Drosophila melanogaster: one gene and its partners. The protein of the gene in region 3 purifies or fractionates together with the protein of the main gene of each other region. This does not show direct contact. Each region holds a gene or a part of one and is shown on either strand. Other genes may lie near its edges.

Region 1 (8,282 bases), on a different chromosome or scaffold from region 3:
ATGGTTCCTCAAATTCGGATCTGAAATATTTCTTAAATATATATATTTCTTTTGGCGAGGCCTAAAAAAATCAAGAAATGCAATTGACAATAAATTCTGGTGATATATGTTTGAATTAGTGAACCCCAACAACAAACCCAAACGAAAATGGCAATTGAAATTTTTTTGATTAGCTTAACCATTTGGGGCTTCGACAGGAAGTTTCCGGCAACTGAAAACTGCCACAAATTCTCAATTGTCGTTGGCCAAAAACTTGCCAAATAGGAGGAGCTACCCAACGACAGTTGCCAGGCTGTAAATAAAATTTAATGAAATGATACGATAAACTTGTGAGTGTGTGATTTACACACAGCAGAAGCCCAGATAGTACTGCACAATTGCATATGCACTGCTAGCACACACATTAAATAAAATTAAGGGTTGTGTTTATAAAATTATAAAAATTATAAAATCCATCTAAAGCTTTTGCAACAAAGTAGTTTCAATGTACTGCTTAACTTTTATCCCGATTTTTTATACCAGTTTATTACAAATTTCATGTTAATCTTAATATTTCTCAGTGCACGGCTTGTTAGTCAAGTCTGTTTTCCCGGGGTTTTCTCACACATCTTCTGCGGAAGTCTGGCTCCCGCTCGTTCTTTGTACCAGTGCGTAATTTCAACATTGGCAATTAAAATTTTGTATGAGTTGCTTGCAATCAGTGCCCAAACTTGCCACGCACAAACAAATACACTCGCAGAAACACCCACACGGATGCCCGCACACAGTTGCATGTGGCGACAAACTCAGCTGGTGTCTGCATAATTTAAAGCATACATTTAGGCTGCCGGTCCTGGCTGTGTGATAAATGCCAACCAGTCAGCGCACACTCTCACAAACATACCCATCACCCAACCTCACCCATACACCCAAACACCGATGCGGAGGACATCAGTTCGCTGCTGCTGACAATTCCAAACAATTTGCCGAGTCTGGCAAGCATTTTGGGCTTGGTTCCCTGTTCGGGGCTGTGATTGCCGTCTTCGGCGCTCTGCTTTGATTATAAGCCACGCCCACACAGAGGCATGCGTGGACACACTCAGAAAAAATGATCGATCAAACACTAGATGAGGCCCTCTTGCCAAATTACTAGGGACTTACGAGCAATTAAAGGTGGTTTGAATTATGCCAGATAAATGCATATGCAACAAAATACATATTTCTATTTTTATATCATTCTTATGTTTAACTCATACTTCTCGGTGTATCCACCCAGCCGGGCTTTAAATCCATGTAAACTACGAACAAATGTTTAGAGAAAACTTGTTACTTGTTATTCTGCATATTTGACAAACACTTCGCATGCTCACAGCTAACGAATGTTAAGTTCTGGAAACCTTAAATCCATTGAAGCCCAAAACTCCGTCAAGTATTTCAAATTCGAATTATGAGCAGATATACTTCATTTCTTTGCAATTGGAACTTTGCCCATATGGAGTTTAAATTGAGATTTATTTAATTGCAACCAGACGTTTTATTTATTTTCTGTATATAGTGTATAAATAGGACATGAGCAGGACTAAATTCGAGGCAAGTAAAGTGATTGAGATTAAAATGTTCAGTGAGATTTGCGCACTAGTTACATGACGTAGGCACGTCGCATCATCAGATCAAAAAACATATCGTTGTCAATTGAGGCACTAATGGTGGCATAATAGTTGACAAACTCCTCGCGGGTTATCTGTGGTACATGATATTTTTAAGTTGTTTGTAGGCAGAAAATGTCATAAGGACTCACCTTTCCATCCAGGTTTCCTCGACCTCCCTCAAAGTTGTGCAAAAAGTCGGTAAGAATTTCATCCTCAGACTTTTCTCCAGACTGGTACTTGGGATGTTCTTTTACAGAGTACACGTTCTTAAGATCTTGAATGGTAATTACTCCATCTTCATCACGATCCATTTTGTTGAACGCCTGATCAATAATATTCAAACGACTCTGCGGCATGGGGGGCTAAGTATGGGAAAATAATATATTTCAATGGAATGGAATAGTTTATAGCTTATGAATGGTATGTACAAAATAAGATGTATTGTGCATCTTACCCTTAGTTTAAGCAGGAACTCGGTCATATTAATCGATCCACTGCCATCCTCATCAAACCTAAAAAGGGAAATTTAATATTTCTCCTATTGTTAATGAAACTGCCGTCACTCACGTGGCGAACATCTGCTTGATCTCCTCCTCCGACACATCCAATCCGGTGTCCCTAATGCCAGTGATGAACTCCTCCTCATTCAGAGCCTTGCTACCATCGTCGTCCATCGCCCGGAAGGCCCTGCCATGAATAATCGAAAGTTAAACTGTTACTATTGCATAATTCAGCGCAGGTCCGATTGAAATGTCGTTAAAAGGCAATAAGCCAATCATACCTGCCCAATCCCAGTATGCCTGTTGCTCCGCGGCTGAGGCACAGCAATCGCAGCTTGGTAATGGGATCCTTGTCCTCGCCATCTGTCAGTTCCCGGAGCGCTTGACTCGCCATGTTGGCCTCCAGGGTGTAGAGGTCACAGTTCGGGTTCTTAGATTTAGGCATTTTTAGAATTTATAAATACGTTTACGTTTAATTTAATGTGAAATAGTTGTCAAAAATTTTTGACATTGCTACACAAAATGTGTATCGATTGATTTCGATTTTAGTAAGCTTGACCCGCTTCTCTTTAACTTTGATGTGGGCGTATAATAATGGAAAATTAACCGTGAGTAATATGTGGTCCACAGTACCGATATATGAGTAAGAATTAGCAATATTCAATGGAAAACAATTCAAGTACATTCTACAAAATTACAAAAAAAAGATTTTCCTGTCTTATTCTGCATGTATGTATTGCATTTGAGTATACATATTGCGACCTTATCTTTTAATTCCTTTATCTGCCTTAATATCAAAATAATGTTAGAGTTCATTTTTATGTCAACCAAAGCAAATAAACTACAGCGAATCAAAACCAGAGTATTCAATTTCATTCCTATATCTCTTATGGCTATTCCCCGTAATGTAATTATAGCGAAAACGCTAAAAAAAGTGACTAACAAAAATATCCATTTATGGATCAAGTAATTAAAGCTACTGCGCAAACACAAACAATATAAAAACAAAAGATCCCTTGAACCGCAGTGAATCATTCGCTTCGCCTCTGCTGATTTTTCTCAAGACGCTCTCTAAGTGTTTGTTTCGTCACACTTTTAAAGAGACTTGCCTTCAATTAAGTGAAATTCGTCACTAGGCAAGGGGAGTTAATAATCAGCTGGAGAGGTGTAACGAAAGTGGGGTGGATTTTTAATTTCGGAGAAAGCCCTTTCGCAATTTCCCAAATTGGAACCCAAGGTGAAGGTCGCCGACCAAAAGTTTGGCCCCACAAATAGAAAACAAATGCGGGAATAAACAAGCCAAGCACAACGTACCTCCATGTTTTTTATTCGTGAATAGACCTTTTCACTAGTTTTATACAAAATTTGATGGGGGCTTGTTTTTTTTATAGGCGCCCAACTGAATGGATAACTGCAAGATACTTGTTACTTTGGCGGCTTTGAAATGCAAACTGAAAGCGAAAAATAAAGCGGTCGCAATGAATAAACAGCCAGTCGCTCGAGAAGAGCGAGATGGCCAGATACGAAGGTTCGAGACAGAACGAGAGGCACTCACCCAGATGGGGAGCACCGTGGAACGAGTGGAAATGAAATATGAGCTTTGCCGGCTTTTGTGGCGGGGGAAAACTAGTTACTAAAAAGCATTTACGCTCATGTAGAGCAGACAGTTCGTCCCAGACAGAAAACCCACTGGACTGCCAGCTCACCTGACTCATCCGCCTAATAACTCGGTCGCATTTGCCAGTGATGGCAGCTTTATTTTAAAATAAAATAAGATACATACTGTTAGAAAATAAGATAATATAAAATGAATTTAATCAAATATATTGACCCATATAAATTAGATTTTACCCAAACATTTGACAATAAACTTCTCATGACCAAACCATGTTTATATATAAATCTGTTCTCCACGAACAAGCGAAATTTATTAGATAACAATACATTTCTGTAAGCTAAGATATTTTCTATGCCTAAAAAAACTTCGAGTGCCTACAACTTTGTTAGATAGAAATGGACAACTCTGATAGTGGAATATACCCGGTCTTCTAAACATTTTATTTCAATTAAAAAGTGGCGGGTTCCTACACACCAATTTCGTGACTTCACTGGCCAAATGTTTACTTTCGGCCAACACGAGCCGACAGAAAACAAATATTCAAACTCAGTGATTGTGGCCTGTAAAATTGATCTAGATAAAAAAACGAAAGCACCTGAAAGTATGCAATTCAAAGTGCCCACGAGTTTGCCATTTATTTGGTTGGATTTAATTGAAGTTGCAGGGCAACCAACAACAGAAAGTTCAAAGTTAAACAAGCGTTGGTTTCGATTAAACTCATTCATAAAGATCAGGAAATAAAAATGATGTTGTCTCTTTAAGTTAATACTGCACTTGGCCTTTGATTCGCAGAATTTAAAATATGTAAATGAATGCAATCTTTAACTATTCACTTTTTCTTTTTATTTACTTTAAATTCTTTATTAATTTTTTTTTTTTTTTTTTTGTAAGGCCTGCTGTAAATATTTAAAACCTAATGCAGTACACTAAAATAAACTTGGTAAATCGAATATGACTTTTGCTGTTATTTGTATATCTTCACATTCCATTTAAGGTTGCATTTGCTGTGGTAAAATTCATTTTCCAATAGGCGGCACACAACACTTAATTTAAGGAATAGCCTTGAACTAAGTTGCTATTGGACACGGCTTGGTCGGTGCACGTGTTCCAAGGGTCTTATAATATGCATACGCCCCTAGAGGCACTACCATGTCATACGACCATTACGGGAAATAAGCCAGGTAAACATGACAGCACAATATTTTCACTTCGACCAGCGTGTTTGTCTAGCGCGGCCCCAATAATCAGTCATGAATCACTGCCGGCGGCCAACACTGCGTATGCGTAATATGCACTCAAATAAACCCTTTATAACGGTACTTAGCATGTTTAGCAGAGTAGAATCAAAGTTTTTGTTTGATAATTGATTTATTTATAATAACCTTGAGGCTCCAGCCTTTCGTGCGAATCTCCCTCAAGAACATGCCGCCCTACGAATTGAAACTCAACTAAATTCAGCCGGCGAAACTTAGTAACTAAAATAATAAATGCCGCACAAGTAAGTGGAACTAGGCAACAGCTCGGGGTGTACCACAACACACTGCGGCAATGAATGGGACAAGGTGACTCATATCGTGTCTTTGAACTTGTCCCGTTTTAGCCAAAGAAACCACAAGAAATAATAACACGTGTTCTAAAATGGTGAAATTGTGTCAATAAATTATCTTGTGTTCTTTAGAATAAGGATAATTTTTAAGTTATTCATTAATACAAAGAGTAGTTTTCTTAACAGAAATCTATTTTCGATAAGCTTTTACTAAGAGTAACAACTTTTCCCCTGTCCACGCTTTTGAGAAAGCTTTTCAGCAAGAAAGAAGGCAAGCGAGTGGTTAGTGGATATGACCTGAAGGTTTTCCACCTTTTCCACACATTTCCCCAGTTGACTGACTGTCCGTCTGAGAGAGTGGGTGTGTGAAAAGGACGTTGGAAAGAGGGCGGGACTTCAACGGGAGAGTGTGTGCATTGATGTTGTCAACGCATCATCTGAGCCTGAACTCAATCAGTGAATCACTTCACAATTCGCTGATCAAAAGGAAAACAATCATACGCATTTGAAGTGTCAGAAATTGCCAAAGAGGAAAAGCCCCAGTTGAGAGAGGGAGATGGCCAAACATGCGAATGAGACGGCGACAGAGCGAAAGCGGCGAGAAGAAGACCAGGACCCTTTCGTCCTTTTTGCCATTTTGCCATGTTGACACACTCAAAACTCTGCGACTGTGTGCGAGTGCCTGGCGTGTATTTTCTTTTTAATCAATTTATATGCAAATAAGTGAAATGCTTAACTGAATTTGAGCTGTCTCTCTGACTGACTGACTTGCCCCCTCCCCCACTTGGCGACCCCTTCAATCATTCGCCTGCCTTTGCCTTTTTGCCAGTTGCTTGATTGAAAACGTTAAACGCATTGATTAACGAAAGACGCAAATTCGACAGAGACTGGGATTTAATTGAACTTGTTGCCACGGAATTCCCTTTGCCACGTCCACTGATTGCCACATCCAACTTTATCCATCCGAAAGCCAAGATCTTCCACAGACTGTTGCAAATATTTGCCTGGCCAACACTACACCAGTCGGTTGTCAACCACATTTTACTAATATTAGGTTCAGCCCAGCATAGTTTAGCACCACCAAAAACTACCGCTGGAAAGAAATTAAACATTTTAAAAATTACCTTTTTTTGATAAATATTTACATTGCATTTAAATGGATTTATTGAAAAGATTAAAAATATCTATACATTTTTATGAAAAGATTTTGACCTAGTTTCTTATTTTCGCTTATTCTCAGTGCATTGAGTCAGCTCCTTTCCCCTTCACTTTTTCGTCAAAGGCGAGAACGACTCTCACCTAATCCTTAGGATGGAGGAGCACCTTCATCACACCGGCGCCAGTTTTGACAGGCCCTCGAGAATTTTGGGTCTTTGTCTGTGGCGACGCCTGTGTGTAAATTGATAAAATCAACTTGATAACTTCATTTCATTAAGTAAACATTAATCACATTAACTTTTGTGCCTTATGTCGGTTTGGGACTGGTGCCGAAATTAACCCTAAATGCCTTCCCCACTTCAGACCGTAAGATCTGTATAATTTTAATAAGAAAATCTGCTTGTCTGCTTTTCACACGCTCCCGACCTTTGAACCACAAAAGGCAAAAGTCTGCCAGGAGTGTGTCAATACATATTCAGCTTTGTATCTTTGCGCAAAAGGTAGTGTGTGTGTGTGTGGTATGAACCCTTGAGGTCAAGGCGTATAAAACTTATTACTTAATTTAAGTTGGGTCGCCAGCGAGCTTGACAGTGCCGAGGCACCAAAGAATTTATCATGTTGGCAAATTTAATAAAATGCGAAATACATTTTAATACATTTCGTTGGTCGAACGGGTTTTGCCTTTGTCCTAATTTTCGAAATGAGCATCTGCATATTTCAATTTCCAACAGATTTACATAAATTTTATAAGCCGAACTGCGTTGAATTGAGTTATTCATGAAAAGGGTTGTTTCTACTCTCTGTTAATGGGGTTTTAAGGAATGGTTATAAGGTTGGGTAGGTAAATTTACAACGATTAATATTAAATCATTGCTTTAATTTAACGATCATCTTTAACAAAAGCATTTAAAATGCATAACATATTAAAAGCAATATACCTTTGCCTCTTCTAATATTTTGTAACGTTTTCAGGGCATTTAAAGTTCGGACAGGTTTTTGATTTGATCTTTGGCCATGCCAAACTGTCAACTCGTCTGGACCCAAGACTGCTTTGGGTCTATTCCCGACACCATGTGAGTTTTGATTAGTTGGTTTTGAATGACTGGAAATTATTAAAACTGCCAAAATTGATCAAACCTGATGACGGACACTCGATGCACACGAATCTAGTAACTTTTTTCATTTGGCTGTCGAGTTCGGCCATTAACTGGCAGGATATTGTATGCAAAAAGTTGACATGCGAATGCCAAAAGCCGTAAATGATTTGATAGTTGTGCTTATTACACCTAGTGTGCTATCTAGGATATATTGGTGGCCTTTTTTTTGGTGTGATAGGATGCTGTGTGTGGTTGCGTTGTCAAACTTTTCAAATTAAGCGAAGACTTTCTTTCGCAAGCTCTTTCCTCTCTGTCTCTTTCGCACAGTTTGCTGGCGTTTATTTCCTAGTTTACTTAGTAACTAAATCACGTTTCTTATTTAAGCTTAAGAGCTCATTAACGCCAGGTTTGAACATTATCATAAAATGAGCCAGGAAACTCGGATCGGAGTCGCGTTTCGGTGTCTGAGTTCCTGCCAAAGTTGTTTCTGTGCCCTCAACAAGCTGTGCCGGCTAATACCTGCACACAAGCAACCGCACAATCACATGCACTGAGAAAAACAAATAGGTGTACAAGTTGCATTAATCAAAAATAAAAATTAATTCATGTGAATTACAATAGCACTTCGACTCTTTGTTTTACAAACATATTTAATTTATGCTTTAGGTATTTAGTTAAATGACCTAAGAGACAATTAGACTAAAATTAATAATACTATTTATTCGCAGTGCACAC
Region 2 (5,475 bases), on a different chromosome or scaffold from region 3:
TCAGATGTATGTATCTTTAATGTGAATGGTGAGTATTTTTGGCTGAAATATCTTACTTACTTAATTTTCCCAGAACTGTTAGCTACTATTTTGGAGTTTTTCCCCAAGCCAGCATCATCACCACCACTGCACCCCCCCCACATTCCTCATTTGGGTGGTCGGCCACTCGGACTCGGGGAGTTGGAAACTCGTTTGTCCCGCTTCACGTGGATGGGATGTGTAAATGTATGTTAATTTGGCGATCGTTAAATACGAAAATTTGTTGGCTTTATTGTCAGCTGAGACCGGGCTCTTTGTCTTTTGCATCTTTAATTGGTTGGCTGGTTAAGCCATATGGTCTCGATCTGATTTGTTAGCGTTAAAACCTGTGGTAGCTTTGCGTTGGCTTCTTGTGTGGGGCTCTTAAATTAGCGTTAATCGGCCGGACATAAAGGCTTAATTGCGGCTTATCGCTGGCTACAGCAAGTTGATAACAAGGAAATGCCGTAATAAAGAAATTAAAATGGCTGAATACACGGGGAGAATGTTTCTACTTCTTGTTGCACAACATTGTTGCAGCTAAAGCATCAGCAAACACTTGGGATATGTTTTTCGGATTCCCCAACCCCATTTTTCAAAAAAAAACATTGGCACAATTGGAATTTAATGGAGTCAATTTGGTGCCTGGTGATGCATAAACTGGCCAAAAGCAGTGGATTGGTGTGAGCACTCTCTTGAATGCAAAGAGCTTCCAATGGAAATGGAATGCTGCAGATGCTGCACTGCACTGGCAAAAATAAAGGAATGCCTATCTATTATTTGTAGCTCCAGCTGGCTACGATTCTTGGTGTGCAACTGCAAAGCCTCTGCTTATATTTCTCTCAGTGTACTGGCCAAGTTGCTCCTGCTGGCCGCTAACAATGCAGATCAAGAGATGAGCGCGTCCATTTCGGTCTGCGGATCGCCATTGTTCCGCTTGGCATGTTGTTGTTTTAGGAGCTCGCTAAAAAGACAAATGTGGTGTGCGGATGCGGATGTGGATGCGGGGGAGTTGCTCCTGACTTAGTAAGGCTCTCCAGTTCGAGCTAGTAAGCCAGCCAGCCAGCCAGCGCGTGTTAGTTCCACTCGTTAAGGATTTACGAGCAATTTTTATCACTTTGAGGATCGCTGACAAATCCGGCAACAACAATGCAATGCAACATGCGCATAATAATGGCAAGTTGTCCGGCATACAGCGTGTATATAAATACATATATATATATGTGCTGGTTGGGATATATGCCATGGCTATGTGCTATGAGCCATGAGACAGGAAGCGCACTCGGCTGTCTCATCGTTGTCGCTGATGTGGCCAAAAGTGGCCAATAAAACCCCAGCGACGATGTCACCGGGCAGCAACAATTGCAGTTGCTGTTGCAGTTGCAGCAGCGATGACGACGAATTATAGCAAAGTAATCGCAGTGGACTCTCCAGTTGCCAGTGCATCCTTTGTCCACCTGGATCATACCCTTTCAAGGAGTAGGATATGCCAAAGCCAACTCTGAACTACCATTTATATATAAGTATTACAATCATATCATATCATGCCATAAATCAATTTATACTCTATACTAATCAAGTACGAGGTCAATTTATATATTTATTACATTTATCTATCCACATTGAAAGCTATAGAGTATTCTGAGTTTCCCAACTTTATTTTCCTTTCCACCTTACTTATTTATTTCGCATCTTTCCCCCTTATTTTTTTTTTGTACATTTTCCTTGGCCAATATCGTTGGCGGCTTTTGGCGTTGATTTCCCTTCCAATTTATGTGACATATTGATTTTAAATTGATGATAGTCTATTTTGCGTTGGCCAGCCAACGGAGGAGCGAACAAAGCCGAACGAAACCAATTTATTTTAGCCATTTTAAATTGGCATTTTCGCCGGGTACGCAGCAGCGTTCGCTGCATTTGGCCAATGCGTTCGGGCCAGGCTCATATGACTTCATCAGCGGTTTATTGTCGACGGAGACGAGCTGGCTGGATAGCTTATGGTCTTCTGGGCGTCTGAGCTTCTGGCCTTCTGCTTTTCTGGCTGGGAAAATGGCAGCATACTGGCCTGCCTGCTCCATTCATAGGTGCGCATTTAAATGCAAATTTAATTCAATTAATGATGCATCAAATGCAGCCAATGCCTAATTGCCATGCGATGATCGTCGTCGTCCATGTCCCGCGTATTTATTTTCATTTCATTTCGTTTTATTTCATTTACTTTTTCTATTGCCCATCCTGCAGGATTCGCAGCAGAAGCCGCAGCTGCCGCTTGACAATATGGATGATTTAGTAGTCGCTGCCGTTTGGTTGTCGTGTCTGAGGCACCATAGGCGTAATTAGACAAGCATTGTGCAAAAGCGTTAATTAAAAACCACAGAGACACACAGCCAGTTGCCATTTTTCCACCGACTATTGACTGCCAGCTGCGCCAGCGCCACGACTTCAATCTCACACTAGGAGATACATTTGCAGCAGCCACAAAACTGTAGAAGTTCACTGCTCATTTGCTCTAAAAACTATAAGATACATTTCGGAAAAAATGTAACTATATTGAACAGTTTATGAAAAGTTACTACAAGATACAGTTTAAAACTGGTCAGCTTCATTTTACAGACTTTGCTTTAGAATCTACCCTTTAAAGTGCACAGTTTTTTTTTAATATGATTTACTTACAATTTCTTTCATTTAATGTAGAATGTATTCCTTTGCCAAAAGATCTTTTTTTTGCAAGTGCAGCTCCGCGGTGTCGATTCCGTAATGAGCCAGCGCATCGATTGCGTAAGTTCTCCGCGGATGCATCTGCTCCCAGTTTCCAGGGCCCATTCCCATTCCCATCTCTCGAGTTGCATGTCCCCAGGTCCTCGAGTCCCATTAGTGCACCCGTGCAGCGGGGATGTGGATGGTGATGGCGCTGCAGCAATCAGCTAATAATTTCCTCCTAAGCGATCTGTACTCAAGCATCCATGGCGCATGAATGGGAGCTCCATGCTCATGCGTATTTATGAGCTTCATGGATTCCTGTTCGCTGTCCGCCCAGCGTTGAGTGCCTGGGATTTCGGATTGATTTTGACGCCAATCGGTGGCGTCAGGGGAATCCAAATGGGATTTACAAGAGCTTATATACATTGTAGAAGCCAAAGTGTTAAAAATGTTACATAGCTCAGCCTCAGAAAAAGTTGTCAAACCTTCAATATAGCTAGCAATATCTAAAAGTTCAAAGTAAGTTTTCACATTTTCCATGCATTGCTACATCGCAAAATAAATTAAGTATCTTCAGGATGATAAGTTTCCTGAAATTGGCCAGGAATCCTGGCCAGCTGCTGCTGCCTGGCAGTGGAGTGCTGCAATCCCAGTGGCTTCGTGGCCAGAAGACCATGCCGGTGTACGATTACCGTTGCCAAAATCCGCCAAAGTGGGGCTACTCGGCCTTCGGACGCAACCAGAAGACCTGGGGCGAGTGGACCTGTGCCAGGTTGGATGACCTGCTAAACTGGGGACGCAAGGGATCCCTCTGGCCGCTGACCTTTGGTCTCGCCTGCTGCGCCGTCGAAATGATGCACATTGCGGCTCCTCGCTACGACATGGATCGCTACGGTGTGGTGTTCCGAGCATCTCCTCGCCAGGCGGACGTGCTCATCGTGGCCGGAACCCTGACCAACAAGATGGCACCGGCCTTTCGGAAGATCTACGACCAGATGCCCGAGCCGAGATGGGTCATTTCCATGGGCAGTTGCGCCAATGGTGGCGGCTACTACCACTACTCCTACTCGGTGGTTCGCGGCTGCGATCGCATTGTTCCGGTGGACATCTACGTGCCCGGATGTCCGCCCACCGCCGAGGCCTTAATGTACGGAATCCTGCAGCTGCAGAAGAAGGTAAAGCGCATGAGGACCCTGCAGATGTGGTACAGGAAGTAGAGAATATTCTTGTAAGGAGTTCAGTAAATAAATGATACCTTGTTAAGTAAAGTGTTTTTGGGGTGGTGCAACCGATAAGTAGAGTTGGGCTTAAATCGATCCTAACCTAATCCGATCTCTGCCTTACCCAAAACGAAGTCAAAGAGTTAAGCGCATCAGTTCCAGCAACTACACAAGATTCCTGGCTCAGAAAGTCGCTTAGTCAGCGGAATAGGGCTCGTGCTCACCTGCAAGGATCGGTTTCATGTCCCGCAAAGGACCTCTTGAAGCGAGTCCTGCAGACAATGCGCGGAGACAATAAACACTTCTGACGGCACTGTCTCTCAAGTGGCGATGAAATATGAAGGGTTCTTGAGGCATATGAAAGGATTTCGTTGTTTCACATTTTTTCGAGCCAGCCCGAAAATCCTTTTTGCGAATCTGGCGACACCGAGCACTTGAACTTGGTGGGAACATCATTAAATCCCCGTTCGAGTGCGGTGAGTGCATTAAATTGTGGGACAACTATCGCATTAGTGTAATCCATGTGCGACACACCCACAAAACTGGCAGATCCTCGGCTTGAATGGAAACTCTCGAGAGTGAAGGACTTGAATGAATGAGTATCTCCTCTCATTCAACGAGCGGCGAGAAAAGGACCTGCACACTCTGAAAATCTGGACAAAGGCGCAGCAGGCAGCCCGCTGATCTTCGGGGATCCTGGGAATCCTCTCGTGACTCGCACAATTCCTGCGAATAAGAATGACTGCGTGGGGAAATTAACTTGTCTCAATCGCACAGCAATAAAAATTAATAACAAAGCCACTGGCAACTTGTTCGCCTCCATTGTGCAGGCATTAAATAAATTTAACAGCTCAATGACTTGTCGAAAGGTGCTGGGAGAATCCAGGGGCTCCAGGGGCTCCTGGGTTGCTGCAGAATCGAAATCAGTGGACCGTTCGCAGCCAGGCGAGCATATCTTAATTAGCAGACCCCGGCCCACATTAACCTTAATTTTGCTCTGTTTTATTTTACCGATTTCTGCTTAATTGCGGCGCCGAGGCGCCAACGAAAAAGCTTCGCAAGTGCACAGGCAAAATGTTGTTAACAACTTGCTTGGAAAGTGAGCTCAGTTAATCAGTAAGAATATTCAAGAGAAACTCATTGATTTAAGTTGCTGCGTATATCTACATTAGTTTCAGATTTTTTTTTTCGATTTTTTTCAGTGCACTTGCAGCGACTTTTCGCTGGGATTTCCAGTGGAGTGTCCAGCGACGCATGCTCAGGATTTGCACTTGAGTGAAAAGCTGGTAATCTGGAGACGGGGCCACGACCACCGTGGTGGGTGCTACCTGCATATCCACAGCTCGCCAGCGATTGCAGCCCCTTTGCTGGGCAAAATGAGTGGGTTCGGCCAATGTTCCACGGGCAATAAATTACGTCAGAGGCAGATCGGGCAGAAATGCCCAACGAATTGTGTGTGTTTAACACCTAATCGCCCGTTATGCTCGCCATCCGATTGTGAGGTCCTCCAAAAAGTGTTCAAAAACAAAAAAAAATA
Region 3 (9,550 bases):
GCTTTTTATTATTGACTCATTTTATCTAATGAGTCATATCCCTTTAGGTTTGCAATATATTTTTTTTAGCATGCATAGTGATAGGCTTTTAAAACTTTGTTGCTTAAATTGCGTTATTTATTAAAGTAATAATTTGTAAATTATTGTGGAAATAAAGCCCGCTTGTTGTTTTTTTAACTTAATATCTTTAGATTAGACTCACCGGCCATAAGTTCGCTGTTTTGCTGATCCTGCAGCATTGGGATCACCGGCTCGCCGCCAGGTGGCGCATCTGGCATATCATCGGCCGTATGATCGTGACCGTGGGCGGTGGGGGCGTGGCCCTGGGTGGGCGGTGGCTCGGCAAAGAGCATCTCGAAGCGCAGCCGGGTCTTGATTGGACAGACCCTCAGCTGCTGTTGCTGTTGCACTTGTTCGAGCGGGCCACCGATCTCCAGGTGACGATATAGAGCATAAATTTCGGTTTTATGCTCGAAATGGCTCCAAGTGCCGTTATGGGCGGCGTATTTACCGTTGGCGTGATGGCAGCCTGCTTCTCTGACGTCACAGCAGCCGGCTGATTCAACAGCGACAATTTCGCTTTCGACGGCACCAAACTGGCGTAAATAATCTAAAAATAAGACGAGGTTTTTTTTCCTCTGTACACGGGGAGGCTGATGCCGCTTCTTCTTCTTGTTATTTGCCCTTTGCTTCTGCTGAAGCTGCTGCTTCTTCTTGCTATGTTCCCTTTCCTCTTGCTTTTTCTTCTTATCCTCCTCGCCTGCTAGATTCTCCTTCTTCTTACTACTCTTATCCTTTACCCCTTGCTTGTGACAGAGCTCCTCCTCTTTCCGTTCCGCGTGCAGTTGTTGTTGTTGTTGCTGCTGCTGCTTGTTTGACCTTTTCTTTTGGCCAAACTTTCTGCCCCCGTCGACGTCACAGCTGATCGATTTGCTGCACTCGCTCGGCGATTTATCCGCCTCCTGGCTTTGCCTGCTTTTTCGATTTTCCCAATTCACATTCGTCGTCGGCCGTGGGAATTCTGCTATCATAATTTGTATGCCACTTATGCCATAATTATCACACTCACTCTCACTCACACGCACAAAAACGCGAAAAGAGAGGCGGGCGCGCGCTTGTGTTGTTGTTGATATATTCTTTTTTCACCGCTTAACCAAGCTGAAAAGTTGAAAATCTTTACACACACCAAAAACACACACACACACAGACTCAGAAAACTTGGGAAATCGAATTTTCCGTACTATGATTTTCCGGCCATAAATCTGCACGGGCGTAAGTTTCGGAGGAAACTGCTGCAGAAAAGCTCCTGGTCGCAAAGGAAGAAAAATCGGACGGGCGAAGCGTTGCCAGACGATGACAGCGATTTCATTTGTTTTGATTTAGTTGCCGGAGCGATGTCACCTCAATAAGATACCGAAAAATACCAAAGGTATTTCGAGCTGCCAATCTTTTTTCCGACATCAAACTTTTCTAGCCATTTGACTTTTTTTTCAAAAGTATTTATAAATTTTTTTATATTTAAATGCACGAAATAAATACATATATCAATGTCTATATAATATTTGGAAATATAAGTTTCCTTCGTTGTCATTGGGTCTTTCGACTTCTCTTTATTGACGCATCGCCTTAAACAATTCCAACTAAAAATTTCCAATCAACACAGACAGCTACTTCGCTCCGCTTAGGCAAACAGACGCAGTTCATCGCGCGCCTCGATGCACTTGGGCGGCGAGGGAGTCTCGAACTCGCCCAGCTCGGCGTCGTAGTAGAGGGCGGCGCGGTAGGGACGCAGCTCCCATGGCACCTGCTGCTCCATTGTGGTCAGCGTGACGCCCAAATCCTCAAGCGTGGGGACACCAGTCAGAACCTTGTCGGTGACAGCCTCGCGTTCGATGCGAGCGGGATGCAGACCGCCAATCGGGGTGCCGGGGCAGATGAAGCTGTTCAGCTTGGCTTTCAGCAGGAAGGTGGGGTCCCAGCGCATGTCGTAGCGCATGTAGCCCCAGCGCTTCTGGTCCTTGCGCATCAGGCGGTGGAACCAGTCGACCAGCTCGCTCAACTGATAGCGTTTAGGTCTGCAGAGAATAAAGGAAATTAAGAAAATGTACATGGTACAAATACTTGGACTCGGAGATTGACTTACCCCACAGCCTGGTAGATGCGGCCAGCGCTGTCCGGATCCTTGGCGGCGTTGATGATGGCCTGGGCCACGTCCGAAACGTAGACGGGCTGCTTGACGGTCTTCTCTCCCTTGTGCCACAGCGGCATCGAGCGGAACTGACGGCGCCAGATGTGGGCGTAGTAGCGCAAGAAGCGATCCTCGGATCCGTAGATATCCGCAGGGCGGATGATCGTGGCGTTGGGAAAGGCGTCGCGTACGCGAAGCTCACCCTCGTACTTGCTTTTCAGCCACTCGCTGCCGCCCTTGACGTACAGATCCTTGGGATTGGCCTCCACGTTCAAAGAGGACAGGTGGATTAAGCGCTCCACGCCAGCCTCGCGCGCAATCCTGAAGAAATAAAAGTGGTTTACGTCATGCAAAGTTAGAATGAAGAAGTGGGCAGGCAAATAATGCTGGCTATGATGTTCACCTAGCGATCCTCTCCGCTCCGTTGACATGGACATCCTTGAACTTGAAGTTCTTGGTCTCGAAGTCCCTGCCCACCAGGTTGATGACCACGTTCGAGTGCTTGACTGCGTCACGAATGGAGGCGGGATCCTCCAGGTTGTAGAAGTGAAAGAGTACCTGGCCAAGATCACCGGTGACCTTAAGACGGATAACATCCGAATCGTCACCGCGATAGGGCAGGATCATCTGGGTGCCAGATTTGCCCAGTTTGTTGCAGACATAGCGGCCCACGAAACCGGTGGCACCGAAAACGGTCGCCACGATCCCATTGAAACTGCTACGTCCGCCAGTTCCGCGCTTCATGGCAGCCGGATTGGTGGTCTTCAGTGGACGTGGACCATCTTCCGGCGGCGCAGCAGCGGCGGAATATCCACGCAGGCACAAAACTCCAACCACGCCACTGCCGTGGTGCTCTAAGTATCCGGAATTGGACAGAGAATGAGCCAAAAGTTAGCCACAAACATCGTATTACATAATTGGATTGCCTGGCGGTTTTCGACCGCAGGCACGGTACTCACTGGCCAGCTGGAGATTACGGGTTAGTACTATGGCGGCCATTTCGCACCGGCACACTGGACCAACTCGATTCGGTTAATTTACGCTTAAAATCCTATTTTATTTCGGAACAGGCCAGTTTTTTATTTTGCCCCACGACAGTGTGACCGTGGCGTAGCAATTGGAATATACTAGAATTGACAGGTTGATATCAAAAACTACCGTCAAACAAAGCTGCCAGACTGAAGAAAAACATTTGATTTGGAAAGTAACAGTTTTTTCTATAGTTTTTAAAAAGCCCTGTTAACCTAAAGTTAACCCTAAATATGTAAATAATTGACCTCATAACCAATAGACCGTGTTCGTGGCCATTGCATACCAAACATATTTTAATTATCTGATTATCAAATATCGGTAAATGCTACTACGGTTATAACTACTATGATCTCGAATTATTCATACTATTTAGGTGGCACTAATAATTTTACCTCATAATTACTTTGACAACCTTGGGGATATCTTAGCCTCTTAGCGGTAATTAAACCGTCATATAAACCACTCTTCTTGCTTGGCACTAGTTTATAAATATTTGTTGGCAAATAAGACATAAGCTAACCGTGTCCCAGTTGAAAAGTAACTGCCTTGCTTGTCACACCGCAAACTTTTTATCTAATGTGCGTGGCTTAATTGCAATTTCCAGCCCGCGGATCGTTTAATTCGGCACGGCTTGGGTTCTACGGACAAAGAATTCAGTTAGCAGTCGCCTTCGAGCTGTAAAACCGAGAGCATCGGGAAAACTTAGTGTTATCTGTTCGAAATCGGCCAACTAAGGATTAACTATTTCTACGGACCAAAAACACCGATAAGCAGTGAAATAAAAGTGAGCTTGTGGTGAAACTGTTCATAATGGATACACATTTTTGCGGTTATAAAGTGCGGACCACTAGCTAATTTGGTTTGAATGTAACAGCTTGGGTAAACTAATTAGTACCGAGGGTATATAAGTTAGTAATTTGTTTTTAGATTGGTTAAGATAATGGGATTTCAGGCGAATGCGACTGTCATGAATAACCTCCTTCGATACAAAAATATTTCTGGTATTGTAACATTACATTATACACATGCAGTGGGTCAGGATATACAAAAAATTATAAACATTTGTCAGTGTGTCAAACGCGTTCTTATACATATATATGTACGTATTTGTGTATAAAGAGTAAATTTCGTGTCAGATATTTCTATTGAATCACCCTGTCTAAAAATAAATAATAAAACACATTGTTTATATTATTGTTATAATAAAACACATTGTTTTTTGTTTGTTGACTTCAGTTGTGCGTTTGATAAGTTAAATATCTGCACAGATCACTGCTTTTGACAATTGAGGATGTAATTCTATAGAGATTACCATAGCTTCATATGTAAATATGTATTTATAATATTTATTATGGCATTGTTGTTGTCTCATAAACCTACCTAGATAACGACAATACAAACATACCTACATTTGACAGGCATAAACAAGCAACATATGTATAAATTTCACTCTCCTTTTTCTGCTCTCATTTCGCTCTCTTTAATAGCTCACATGCAATCAGCTGATTTTTTTTCAACCTGCTCACGCACTTTTTCGCCCACACAAATACTATCACTGTTGCTTTCTACCTCTCTCTTCCTTATCTCTGCTCCCCACCCTTTAAATTTGCGGGCTTTTCGTTTGTTTTGCCGGCCGTGGTTATTGGTGTTGTTGTTGCTCCTATTCGACCATCTCTCTTTGCCTTTAATACCCTTACGAAGAGTAACTCAAAAGTAAATAAATAAATAAATTAACTACTCTTGGAACATATCCGTTCTAGTGAAAAAATTAAAATTAATTTTAATTCAATTATGAATGCTCAGAATTATAATGAGGAAATCTTCTTGTTTTTGTAGAACATAGCTTTACTAGTATTATAACATTTCGAATTTCAATTAAAAGAGTACTTATAGTTCGGCATGGTGCTTCGGGTTTTCCGTTTATTTTGCCATATGTATATTTCTCGTCGTCTTTTGCGATCATTCGTGTTTGAGCCGCGCTGCAGTTAACAACGATCTGAATGATTCGCTCCCGAAAAAATTAGCGCGTGTGCCTCGAAATATTTTAAATCGCTAACGTGCGTGTGTGTGAATAATAATAATAATAATAATAACAATAAAATAGGAAAAGCTACATTTTCCAAAGCAATTTACGCTGCCGCGGTTATAATTAGAAAACGTAAAGCGAACGCAGGCCTTTTTTCGCTTATCAGAGTCCAAAAGACGGTAATTCTCCAGTTCTTAGCCACAGTATTAGGGGTCTAGACTGATAAGGGCTTTTCGGCCGTATGCGAAATTCGGCTTTGTATCTGGGCCCAGGAATCGGAAAAATACGCCCTAATGCGCGCAGTTTTGGATACTCGCAGATTGTATATAGATGACTGATTCGTTAGCGGGCAGATTGTAGATCCATTTAGCAAGTGATTATTAAGACGCCTCGCGCCTCTTGGCACCGATGTGAAAAAATATTGCCCGAAATATGTATTACTTCTGCGGTGTATAAAAATAAGTTCGATCGAAATTAATGCTAATTAACGGTTATATCTGTCTACGATCCACCTGCCAGTCGCATCGAGATTAAGCTAAAAACAAATTCTCACCCTTAGCTAATTCAATGGAAATTAATCCCGGGCCTTGGCTCAAGTTCTGAAGAACCCAGCTCGGCCGTGTTTCCAGTTCCAAAATATTATAAACAATTACTCTATGAAATAATAAACAAACTAATTTGTTTGCGATTGAGTTAATAATGCATTTTTGGTTGCACGGTTATATTAGCCAACTCAAATTATTAATCTAAAGAGTAGCGTGAGATCCAAAAATTTTACATTTATATTAAAAGAAAAATTATTATATTTTAATCTCTTACATAGAAAGCTATTATTGTATTTATTACTTCTATCACTGCAACCGCATTGTATGTTTATAAATTTAATTCAATTAGATTTGTCGTTTTGTAATTTCGAGTCATTAAGTGTAATTGAAGTGGGTCTTTAGTAATCAGCATTAATATCAAACTTCGTATTATTTTAATGGGTTTTTGTAAATCATCAAAAAATCTCTCGGACCCCAACTGATCACGTTTTCGATGAGGATGCAGGGAAAGCATACATATGTACATATATAGATATATACTTATGTATATAGGTGCAGATTGCACGTAGATGGTGGTGCATAAAATCGTAATTAAAATATTTACACTTCTTTGTTTATTATAATGGGAATATTTCATTGAATCGTGTGCTTCATCACTTACTATGTACAGGTGGTCAGGGTTGTGAATTCGCGAAAAAAAACGTGGATTGGGTTTCACTTTTATGATTATGGGCTAAAAAGCAGTAAGATACAAGCTGGATTTTTATAGAACACACAATTAGTACGGAAAATTTAGCCGAGTGCAATGCAATTTAACTTATAGCCTACTACTTACTAATATGGAATAACTTAAAATCTGCATACTTACTTTCGCCTAGTTGTTCCATCTTTATTAACTCTTATCTTACATCTTATATTTATAATGTACCTATGATTTTAAGGCTGTATTACCTAAATAAGTCATATTTACATCCCATATTATAAGAGAGCCCCCCTAAAAATATTAATTTCCACTTGGCAACATTTACCGGTGGCAACATCAACATTCCCCATCGAATCAATCCCTCGACTAGTGATGGCATTTTAACCCACTGAAAGCCGAGTTGTTTTCGATATTGTTTTCCAAATCGCTCTTATCAGTCAGACCTGTCCACTTACCACTTAATCACCTGGGGTGAGATAGCGATAGGGTCGGTAGACAACTATCTCTATCTGCTTATCAGGAGTCCGATTTTGGCGCGTTCGAAATGTTCAAATGCGCCTCATGGGCAACAAAGTAATAAAATATTGGCAGCACACGTTGTCTGTGGCCCACTGATAGACAATAACAATATTGATAGAATTTTTAAATAACACCGTTCCCTTGCGAATTAGAAATTCCAAAGGCATCGGCAACCTTGTCATCGTGTCCGAAATGGTCAAAATTGTTAGATTTTAGCTGCTGGTTGTTTTGAAAACAGGCCAGGGACCCGTATAGGAAGTATTTTTGTAATTCAGTTTAAAATCTACGCAAAAACCAATAGGCAACAAATGCTGTTTGTTGCCAAACTTCATTTGTATGCAGGCAATGGTCCGAAAGAAGCAAAAAATTAAACAAGCAAACAGAATTAATGCACCTGAAACCTGATGATGGCAAATCAAAACAAAAAGCAAATGTTATTGGTCCCGAATTTTACTGCACGCTTCACTTTTTGTTTATTTTTTCAATTAATGGAGTGAGCTGTTGCATTGGTCTAATTGGCAATTGAGCTGTCAACTCTTGGCTCAGATTTACGATCTGGACTTTACGCCATCTGAGAAGGTCCGGATTCGAGGGTAATCAAATAATTATGACAAAAGGGGTGAAAAAACATTCCATAAAAACCTTAAAATTTTGCAATTGAATTCTCGAAAGTAAAAAGATTTCTCGCAATACTAATCTGTGAGCAATTTCATTTTTGTAAAATAGTTGTTTAACTATACATAGCATCTATAAAATAACCAGATACCTGTTACTCAGATGTCGGGATGCATGCCTTGTCTCAACTTTTTACAAATATCTTTAAAAAAATATGTACGGTCAGACGGACGGACGGACATTCAATTGAACATTGGACTTATTCGCAATTAAATAGCTAGTTAACATACAAACTAAAAGAAATTTATATATAAATTTAATTACACGTTATAAGTTGTTCATTTTACTTGCCGATTGCTTCTGTTTTCACTTCAATAAATATTTCGAGTGATGTTAAATCAAAGGTTTAGCGGCGATATCAATAACAATACCGATATGTTGCATATTAATTTTCTTTATTTAAACAGTTTACCACCAGTAAGCATTAAATTTGAAAAAAAAAAATTCGCTAAATATACAAATCCAATAAATACGAGCAATTACTTTATTCAATCTAGCGTGATATGCCAACTTTTTCTTTTTTTTTTAATCGGTTTCGAAAACAAGTGTACATTAAATCTTTTACCCCAAAAAATGGCATTAAGTCTGTTGACCTTGCATTACCCTATTATTACTCTAAAATTTTCCTGGGTGTCTAGTATACCCTCCTGCTCTACGAGTAATGGGTATACAAAATTGTAAATGAAAAGCTAAGCCTAATTTCAGCTTTTAGACCTGCCTTGACATCTTTGCTTTTTTTTTGGTAGTCTTTGGGAACCGTCAGTTCTCATCCACATGCCACTCATATCACACCACATTTTATCGGGAGGATCACTTCGTTATCTTCATTATCCCCTAGCAACTACAGCAACAATGAGCGACCTGAGGCTTCACACGAATCAGTATCTTTATCTGTATCTGTATCTGTAGCTCTGCTTATCTTGTGTTATCTTTTGTTCGAGCCTATATAACATTGCCTCCTGCCACCCACTACCCATCCATTTCGGATTTCGAATGAAAACGAAATCAAATTGAGGAAATGAACATTTAGTGGAACAACTGGAAGATACACGAGTACACAGAATCCATTTAATCAAACAGATGTCTATGGCCTCATCCACTCATCCAAATAGTTTGTTGCTACCTGCTAATTGTTATTTCTACAATGTCTCTGCTGGAATTACTATAGCTATAGTATGGAAAACAGTCGATTGTTTGCTGGGGCGCACAATCTAGTGCCCCCGAGGCGCCGTTTAGCGCTTTAGTACTTAGCTTACTCGCTTTCCATGTCTATCTCTATGGGGTTCTAAAACAATAGATTTTATCATTTGATCTATTCTAATTATATGCCATTGCACGTGTGACAATTTGGAATGCAATTGGCTCATTTAAGAGTCGAATCGACGACAAACATAGGCGTTTGTACATTTGATAAAATTGTATTCTGGGCGGCAATGTTAATTTGCGTAATAATCCTATTGAGGATTCCACGTGGAAGCGACAGATTTAAATCAACAGTCGATTTGGGCTTGTTCTGTCACTTTAAGGAAGTTTTATATAACGACAGTGAAATCATATAGAAATGCTGTCTATAAATGGATTACTATAAATATCATTAATGAAGTATAACATATAGCAGGTCCATGGTTCTGTTCTTTAAGTTAGGCACATTGTATACCTCAACTTATCACATTTATTTACCATAAAGGTCATTGCACGGACCTTCAGTTTTTGTTTAGATGGTCTATTCGGATTAACCAAAAATACCATTAAACCGCGACATGTCCCTCGCTAATTACTCTACTAGAGGGCATTTAGGCCATTTAAATGACCAACCGAATGGGGTTCAACCTTGGGGTTACATGGCGGCAAACACACTGAGT

Evidence for each region.
Region 1: the proteins of ND-39 (region 3) and CG10126 purify together in Drosophila melanogaster (affinity purification with mass spectrometry, with the first as the bait; one large-scale study listed by BioGRID). This does not show direct contact.
Region 2: the proteins of ND-39 (region 3) and ND-20L purify together in Drosophila melanogaster (affinity purification with mass spectrometry, with the first as the bait; one large-scale study listed by BioGRID). This does not show direct contact.

The regions. Positions count from the first base shown.
Region 1 is NT_033777.3:12,854,048-12,862,329, forward strand, and holds CG10126 (uncharacterized protein), read right to left. Parts: upstream 5,200-8,282; 5' UTR 5,171-5,199; coding exon 5,129-5,170; intron 3,586-5,128; exon of another isoform or gene 3,449-3,585; coding exon of another isoform or gene 3,443-3,448; intron 2,559-3,442; coding exon 2,410-2,558; intron 2,316-2,409; coding exon 2,196-2,315; intron 2,141-2,195; coding exon 2,083-2,140; intron 1,991-2,082; coding exon 1,778-1,990; intron 1,721-1,777; coding exon 1,619-1,720; 3' UTR 1,497-1,618; downstream 1-1,496.
Region 2 is NT_033777.3:29,512,549-29,518,023, forward strand, and holds ND-20L (NADH dehydrogenase (ubiquinone) 20 kDa subunit-like), read left to right. Parts: upstream 1-3,168; 5' UTR 3,169-3,237; intron 3,238-3,264; exon of another isoform or gene 3,265-3,295; 5' UTR 3,296-3,296; coding exon 3,297-3,935; 3' UTR 3,936-3,979; downstream 3,980-5,475.
Region 3 is NT_037436.4:20,489,117-20,498,666, reverse strand, and holds ND-39 (NADH dehydrogenase (ubiquinone) 39 kDa subunit), read right to left. Parts: upstream 6,586-9,550; 5' UTR 6,453-6,585; intron 5,426-6,452; exon of another isoform or gene 5,177-5,425; intron 4,005-5,176; exon of another isoform or gene 3,746-4,004; intron 3,321-3,745; exon of another isoform or gene 3,316-3,320; 5' UTR 3,188-3,315; coding exon 3,148-3,187; intron 3,043-3,147; coding exon 2,592-3,042; intron 2,510-2,591; coding exon 2,144-2,509; intron 2,076-2,143; coding exon 1,682-2,075; 3' UTR 1,583-1,681; downstream 1-1,582.